Linked DNA regions of Ovis aries. The protein of the gene in region 1 purifies or fractionates together with the protein of each later gene. This does not show direct contact. Links are inferred from orthologs where the notes say so. Each region holds a gene or a part of one and is shown on either strand. Other genes may lie near its edges.

Region 1 (4,438 bases):
GCCCGAGTGGTAACACAGAAGAGCAGCAGCTAGGGCAGGGCCCGCAGGCACAGGACACCTGCCCTTTTTAAAGGCTCGGGACAGGGAGCTTGACGCTCTAGGCCGAATCCTGAGCAGAGCCCAGAAGATGACAAGGCTCGTTCGTGTCCGGCACATCCTCCCCGTCTCCCAGGAAGGGCTGAGGGAGGAGCCGAGGCTCCACTCACCAGCTGATGTGCTGAATGCCTCCCTCGCGCTCCTGCCTGAGCTGCACGTATCTCTGGATGGCCTTCTTCAGGTCCAGGACCGTGGCGTTCTGGACTACAACCACAGCTGCACAAGCAGAAGATCCCCAGCGTCAGGTGGCAAGAGGAGAGCCCAGAAGCTCTGTAACTTCCCAAAGCTCAAGTCTGGGCAGGTGTGGGTGTGCCCAACAGGCCTGGGCACAGCCCGGAGTTCCCACCCACCAGCTCTGCTAACATCCTCTCCTGTGAAGGTTCAGACTGCTCTGCCAGAGCGGGAGGGCAGCACTTACGCATAACTTCTCCATCCATCTTGCACACTCGCACTGTCATTGCTTGGCCGTATTCTAATGCTATTTGGGAATTAACTTCTTCTAAAGTAACCTGGAAAAGACCAAGGATGGAGGTGGGAGCTCTCTTCACCACCCAAAACAACAAAGGCAGACAAGCTGACAGCGTTTATAAAGTTAGGCAGAACCTTCCTGAAGTCTGAGGAGAACGGAAAATGGGAAACATCGATCTTTTACTTTTTACTTGAAAATTACATTATTTCTGCTTACCCCAGGCTTCTGCACACCAATTTCTGGTTGTTTTTAAAACACTGCTGACATGTCAAATGTCCTGACCAGTCGGTTTTTCGGCGCCCCTTTAAATTTCGCACCCGAGGCCAAAGCCTCGCTCGCCTCCAGGCCCGGCAGGAGCCTTCTGCCTAGACGCTCCGCTACGCTCGGAAACGCCTTCCCCAGGCCGAGGCCGCAGCCCCCAGCGGTCCTAGGGTCCGTCCGCGCCCCGACCCCCGCCCGGGGGAACGACGCGGCCCCCGCGCACCTGGATCGGAAGGTCGCAGAGCAGCGGGTCTTGCACAACCATGGCCAGGCCCTCCTGGAACACGTCCACCGCCTCGGAGTGCGGCAGCGCCTCCTCCTCGTCCTCCTCGTCGTCCTGCGGCTCCGGCCGCGCCGCCACCCGCGGCTCCTCCAGGGCGCCGGGCTTCCCGCCGGCCCCGCCCGCACAGCTGGTCCGCGCGACAGAGGTGGTCGCGCACGCGCCGGGAAGGCTACTATATCCCCACCGTCGGGCGTCGGGGGCGGGGCCACTCGAGGACCAATGAGAGATGAGCTACTGGGAGCCGGCCCGCCACTGCTCTCCCTGGGGGCGGGGAGGCGGCGTGATTATTGGTGGGCTGGCAGGGGGCGGGGCGGGGACCACGGGGCGCTGGGAACGCCGGCGCCGTGCTGCCGCGGGCGCTGCCGGGAGCGCCGAGCCTGTGGCGGCCATGCTGCTCTTCTGCCCGGGCTGCGGGAACGGGCTGATCGTCGAGGAGGGCCCGCGCTGCCACCGCTTCGCGTGCAACACCTGCCCCTACGTGCACAACGTCACGCGCAAGGTGGGCGCGCGCGGCGCGGAGGCCGACGCTCTCGCGAGGCGCCCGCGCGACCCGGGCCTTCCCCGCCTCCTTCCCCGCCTGGACCGGCGTCCTTTGGGCCCTGCCGGCCGCCCCGTGGCGCTCCGCCCGCCGCGCGCTGCTCCGGGGGCCTGTGTAGGGCTTTTGCGCCCGGGTCGCTCTTCCCCTCTGTACCCGTGTCACTCGTCGCTCGTGCTTTTACCCGGAGGATTATTTAAAATTGCAGCCTCTTTCTCCACCTCGCCCTTCTCCTAATCTTATTTTTTTAATAGGACTCGTTTGCCTTCCATTGCGGTTTATAATTTACTTGTGCGCCTGGTTTGTTAACACTAGGGTATACATTTTTCAGTTTTCGTCCCCTCTTATGTTCTAGTCTGAACATCTGGGATATATTGGGTATTCAGTACGGAGTGATACATACTGTGTTATAACTCAGTTGTAACTCAGATGTTACTTTCCGTCGATAATGCCTCTTTCCTTTTTAGAACACCTTTAATAATTTTTAGAAGTAGAGCACGCTGGTGTTGCTGCTGCTAAGTCACTTCAGTCGTGTCCGACTCTGTGCGACCCCATAGACGGCAGCCCACCAGGCTCCCCCGTCCCTGGGGTTCTCCAGGCAAGAACACTGGAGTGGGTTGCCATTTCCTTCTCCAATGCAGGAAAGTGAAAAGTGAAAGGGAAGTCGCTCAGTCGTGTCCGACTCTTCCCGACCCCATGGGCCGCAGCCTCCCAGGCTCCTCTGTCCTTGGGATTTTCCAGGCAAGAGCACTGGAGTGGGTGCCATCGCCTTCTCCGGTGTTACCTCATTAGTTTATATGCTGCTCCACCATGTAGCAGTGCTGTGGGAGTTTAGAGTCTGAAATTATGAAGGGTGACATTTCAAGGACGGCTGGTAAAACCTGGAAAATAGTTAGAAAAAGCTCTGTCTGGGCAGAGTGGCTGGGCCACCCTGCCAAGTGCTCCACTTTGGCCTTAGTCGTCTTTGGATGTCTTATTTCAGTGACCAAGTATTGTAGAGGTGGGAGAACAAGAGGGTCACACCAGCGCCGTTTTTCCTTTCCTGCTCAGTTGCTTCATCCAGTCCTCACAGAATCTTTTTATGGGGACATCCCAATTGTGGATCCTCCTGATTCTCATGGAGATTCCTGCTCGGTGACAGCAGGAATTGTGCTTTCCTTTAGTATTCCTCCCTTCATGTTGAAGGCAGGAAGCAGAGTCTGGGCTGATACTTGAAGGCATGGTTTGGTGACCTGGCTTTGTACTGGTCGCTTCCTGGGAGAGTCTGAAGACCTGCTGTTTGTTGTTTGTTAGGTAACAAATCGGAAGTATCCAAAGCTGAAAGAAGTGGATGATGTGCTTGGTGGAGCAGCTGCCTGGGAGAATGTTGACTCTACTGCAGGTGAGAGAGAAAACCTTTCCTGTTTCAGAGCTTTGGGTAAGGGTGCAGCCAGGAGCTGTAGGTAAGGATGAGGCCGCTGGCTGTGCCACTGCAGAGCAGAGTCTGTGATGTATCAAGTGGGCTTCTGAGACTAGAAACTGTTTTCTTCTCTAATGTATTTGTTGCGCAGACAGTATTGGCACAAGCTTTGGAGTGATTCAGACCTGAGTTAGTCTCAGGGTGATCTCATATTGATGCTGATGGGATTAATTAAAAAATCAGTGTAAGGATTCTGTTCTAATATAGTTTTCTTTTAAAGTCAAAGGTAAAGAGTATTAAACTGCCCTAAATATTCTGTGAAGTAAGTATTTGAGTCTTGATTCATCTCTGATAGTGACAGATGTGACCCAGGAAGGAAAGAGAGCCCTCGACACGACCAGGCCAGAGAGGAGGAGGAGCTCAGGGCGATTAGTACTGTCTTTTTACCCCAGAGGGGGCCGTCCAGATTTGCTCTGTTAAAAATCTCTCATGGGCAGAATTTGTCACTGGGAGGTGAATTACACACCAAATAGTGTCTGAGTGTTTGAAGGAGTTTTCATCAAGAGCAAGGTTCTTGAATTGAAATCTCGGTGAAAGTAAAATTAAAAAAGAAAAAAGTACAATCAAGATCACAGGTCTCCTTCCCTCAGTTGTGAGAGCACCGTGGGAATGACACTCCTTTGCAGGAAAACCTTGCAGGGCACCTCAGGCGACGGATACTAGTTGAGCTGGGGAGTGTCTGCTGCTGTGTTTCATGAAATGTCCACTTTTAACAAGCATGTTGATCATGAGGATCGTTTGTTTTTTTTAGTAACCGTGGGTCACTGTTTGTTCTTGTTGCCAGAGCCGTGTCCCAAGTGTGAACATCCTCGAGCCTATTTCATGCAGCTGCAGACCCGCTCTGCAGATGAGCCCATGACCACCTTCTACAAGTGCTGCAGCGCGCAGTGTGGACACCGCTGGCGGGACTAAGGGCGGGGTGGCCCAGCTGCGTCAGCGTCTGCGTGCTTTACTGTCCAGGGTGCATTCCCAGCTGCGAGTGGGAACTGCGTGTCCTGAGGGTCTTGGCTGGCGTGGTGGAAAGCTGACCCTTTAAGGGTGGCTGCCCGGGGAGTCAGGAAGTCCAGCCCGCCTCCCAGTCAGCAGATTAACTCCTTGATGCTCAGAATGTCCAGATTCTGCCCATGCTGTGTGTGGACGGGAGTATCCGTCCCTGAGTGCACCCTGCTGAGGTCCTGCTCTTCCTCTTTCATGTTTATTGGGCAGTTGATGTTCTACCATCAGCCAACACTCTAATATTTACATTGTTTCATAACTAATAAAGTAAAACTTACTAGTTTAGTACATTAGATGCCCCTGTTTAACTGTTAATTGCAAACTTATTTAATTAAAATT
Region 2 (3,237 bases), on another chromosome or scaffold:
GCTGTGCTCAGCCGCTGAGTCGTGGCTGACTCTTTGCGACCCCATGGCTGCTTCCCAAGGAAGGTTGCCACTTGGAAACCCTGGTGGAGACATTGAGGGCACACTCTCACATTTCCTGTGAATGTAGCAGGGCTGGATGAATGACTGCTCTTGAATTATTCATATCTTGAAAGAAATAAGGCATATGCATGTCAGGGAAAGCAGTTTGCCACATTCTTAAATGTTGGGGGAAGTTTAAATAATTATTGAGAGAAGATATAGAGAAAGTTAAATACTTGGTTTCTGCCCCTGGGGAATTTTCAGGCTTTGGGGAGTAACAGACATCAGAATATTTAGCAATAAAATTAGTAGATCATTTAGTGTAAACTGGTGGCTCTCAGACTGGCTGGTTATCTGAATCACCAGGGGAGCTTTGCTAATATAGGTTCTCAGGCTCCTTCACTAGAGAATCTGTTCAGCGGGTCTGGGGAAGGACCTGGGAACCTGTATTTTTAGCACGCTCTCCTATCAGGTTTGGGGTCCATTAGTGTAAACTTGAGTTGGAATCAATAAGGGTGACTTCCTAGAGGAGATGGGCCTGGAACTGGTTTGTCTGCTTTTAGACCCTCTGCTGTGGGCCAGGTGTTGCACTAGAATAGAACTTGGGGTCCTGGACCACCAGGTCTTGTTTGGAAAACTTCAAACGGGAAGTCACAGTTTAGTGACAGTGGTGTTGAGAGAAGTGTGTGTGAGATGAGTCAGGGCCCTGAGGCTTCAGCGCGTGCTTTCCAGGGTGGAGACCTCTGAGCCTCTCTCAGGCCTGTAAGAAGAGGAAGCAGTCGTGTGAGGATGCAGAAGGGAAACAACAGGGCCTGCATAAGAAGCTATAGTGGTTTGATGTGGCTGGAATGTAGGGTGAATAGAGGCAGGTAGCATGAGAAAGTACTGCAGAGGTGAGTGGGGGCCAGAGGAGGTCCTGCCTGCCTGTTGGCCATGGGGTATCAAGGAAGAGAGGTAAGCAGGGGAGAGCCTGACCACAGGCCTTGTGTAGGGGCTAGAGGAGCAGGACCCCTGCAGGGGGTGTTGCCAAGACAGAGAAGGAAGACGAGGCGAGCTAGGCCCTGAGGCAGGGCTGGGGGTTGAGTAGAGTGATCAGAGGGTGAGCTCTTGCACATGTGGGTCCTTTGTGTGGGAATATTCTGCTGTGGCCGTGGGCTCAGGAGTCTGTGACAGGCCCTGGGGAAGGTCCTTGGCCAGGGTAGTGGACGTGATGAGTGTCACACGACCCAGTAATGACAGCTCACACTTGTCCCTTTCACAGTACCTGGCTTCAGTTTGTGGATCACCAGTTTTTTAATGGGAGGTGTTACAGAATAGTAGAGAGGAGTCTTCAGGGTTCAAATCTTGGTTCTACCACTCACTGGCTGTGTGACCTTGAGGAAATTACTGACCTCCCTGTGCCTCAGTTTCCTCCTCAGTAAAACGGAAGTAGCAGTAGTGCTTACTACAAATGAGACATCCACGTGGTGGGTGGAGAGCAGCTATGGCGCCTAGTGAGGCTTTGCTTGTAGCCAGCAGCGTTTTAGCATTATTGTTGTGTAGGCGTGGCAGGGCTTTTTGTCTTCATTTTCAAATGAGGATGCTGAGATTTGGAGAGACATTCAGGGTCTTTCAGGCCCAGTTTAAGCCTAGTCTACTGGCTGCCACTCAAGTACCCTCACTGTCGGCAGCCCTGGACCGCTGCTCCGCACCTGCCGCTTTTGGGAGGTGCCCTTTCTTGGGGCCCTTTCTAGGTGAGCTCTGGGGCGCTGATCCGATCCTGTTTGTGAAACTGCCCAGCTTCATGCTGGGCCTTCTCCCTGTGTGTGTGATCTCCCCACACCTGTCCTTACACCTGCAGGATGTGCGCCCCTGTGATGGTGGAGCTGGAGGGGGAGACAGATCCTTTACTGATCGCCATGAAGGAGCTCAAGTAAGTCACCCAGATCCTGGTTTGTGGCTCCAGAGCCCTGGGGGCATCCCTTGGGTGCTCTGCTGCGCGCCTTCCCGCACTTCCCTGCTGGGGACGTGTGGTCTTGTTCCTGTAGACCCTTAGTTTGGGAGTCAGCCCTTCACCGGGGAGGAGGGGACGGGCCAAGGGGGAGGGGAGGACATTGACGAGACATGGACCGTCCCTGTCTGTCCCATCGTCCCTTTTTCCTGCTGCAGTTGGCCTTACCAACATCCCTCTGCTTTCTGCCTCGCCCTTCGCTGTGGGATGGCAGGCCCTTTGTAGATTTTGGTCCCACACTCAGAGAAGCAGGGACTTTTCTTTTTTTTTTGCTGAAATTCCTCACCTACGAAGTACATCCGTGGTCTCAAGAGGATGCTCCTAAGGCTTCTCCTCCCTTGCCTTCTGCGCCTGCTGTCCCTCTGCTGCAAAGCCAGGGTCAGCACCCATGTACCTCGATTTCCCCCGGTCACAGGGCCCGGAAGATCCCCATCATCATTCGCCGCTACCTGCCCGACGGGAGCTACGAAGACTGGGGCGTCGACGAGCTCATCATCACCGACTGAGCTGGAGTCAGCCTCTGGACTGGGCCTCCGCCCGTGGCTCATCTCATAGTCTTTTTATAGTCTTTATACGTGTAAATAGTAAATTCTTCAACCTTTCAACCCCTTCTGCCTCCCGCTGCCTGTGAGGCCCACCTGCGTCTTCACTGTTACCATCCTGCTGCCTGGAGGCTGTGCGCATCCCAGTGGCCCTGGGACCATCAGCTCTTTAAGAAGCACCAGAGCCCTGACCCCCTGGGCTCCCCTGCGTGCCCCCCTCCATCTCACAGTCCACCAGAGCAGAGGCTGCTGCAGGAGACACCTCGGCTGCCTTCCTAGCAGACAGACGCGCCTTTGTGCCCAGGAAGCTGGTTGCCACGGAAACCCCCAATTTCCTTTCCAGTGTGGACTGGCTGCAGGGGCTTCTCCCTTCTCAGGAGTATCACAGAGCAGGTCTCATCAAGCCACCCATTGTTCTCCTGAGGACCTGCCTCGAGCCTCTTATCGTGGGCTGGGATCCCCTTTCAGGAGCCAGTGCCCCCAGCAGGAAGCTTGGGGACGCAGTGATCTGCCCTCCCCGAGAGAGCCCCGCTGGCCAAGTCAGCAGCTGGAGCAAGGGCTGAACACCTGCCCATCCCAGCCACACTGCCCCTCCCATTCCCCACCTGTCAGACCACTCCCAATACGCCAGTCTGTTCTCCACGACCCACCCGTCTGGTCTGCCAC

What was found. The genes of interacting proteins can lie anywhere in the genome.
Region 2: the proteins of POLR3K (region 1) and POLR2F purify together in Homo sapiens (affinity purification with mass spectrometry; 5 studies listed by BioGRID and IntAct, with this or other methods). This does not show direct contact. The link is inferred for Ovis aries from reciprocal best matches to the Homo sapiens genes POLR3K and POLR2F.

Annotation. Positions count from the first base shown.
Region 1 is NC_056077.1:658,851-663,288, reverse strand, and holds the start of POLR3K (DNA-directed RNA polymerase III subunit RPC10), read left to right. Parts: upstream 1-1,497; coding exon 1,498-1,608; intron 1,609-2,937; coding exon 2,938-3,025; intron 3,026-3,887; coding exon 3,888-4,015; 3' UTR 4,016-4,438. Other genes in the region: SNRNP25 (U11/U12 small nuclear ribonucleoprotein 25 kDa protein), read right to left, coding at 207-312, 515-605, 1,050-1,340, 1,422-1,499. UniProt on the Homo sapiens protein: Core component of RNA polymerase III (Pol III) which synthesizes small non-coding RNAs using the four ribonucleoside triphosphates as substrates. Can mediate Pol I proofreading of the nascent RNA transcript.
Region 2 is NC_056056.1:215,583,163-215,586,399, forward strand, and holds the end of POLR2F (DNA-directed RNA polymerases I, II, and III subunit RPABC2), read left to right. Parts: intron 1-1,879; coding exon 1,880-1,951; intron 1,952-2,444; coding exon 2,445-2,535; 3' UTR 2,536-2,634; downstream 2,635-3,237. UniProt on the Homo sapiens protein: DNA-dependent RNA polymerase catalyzes the transcription of DNA into RNA using the four ribonucleoside triphosphates as substrates.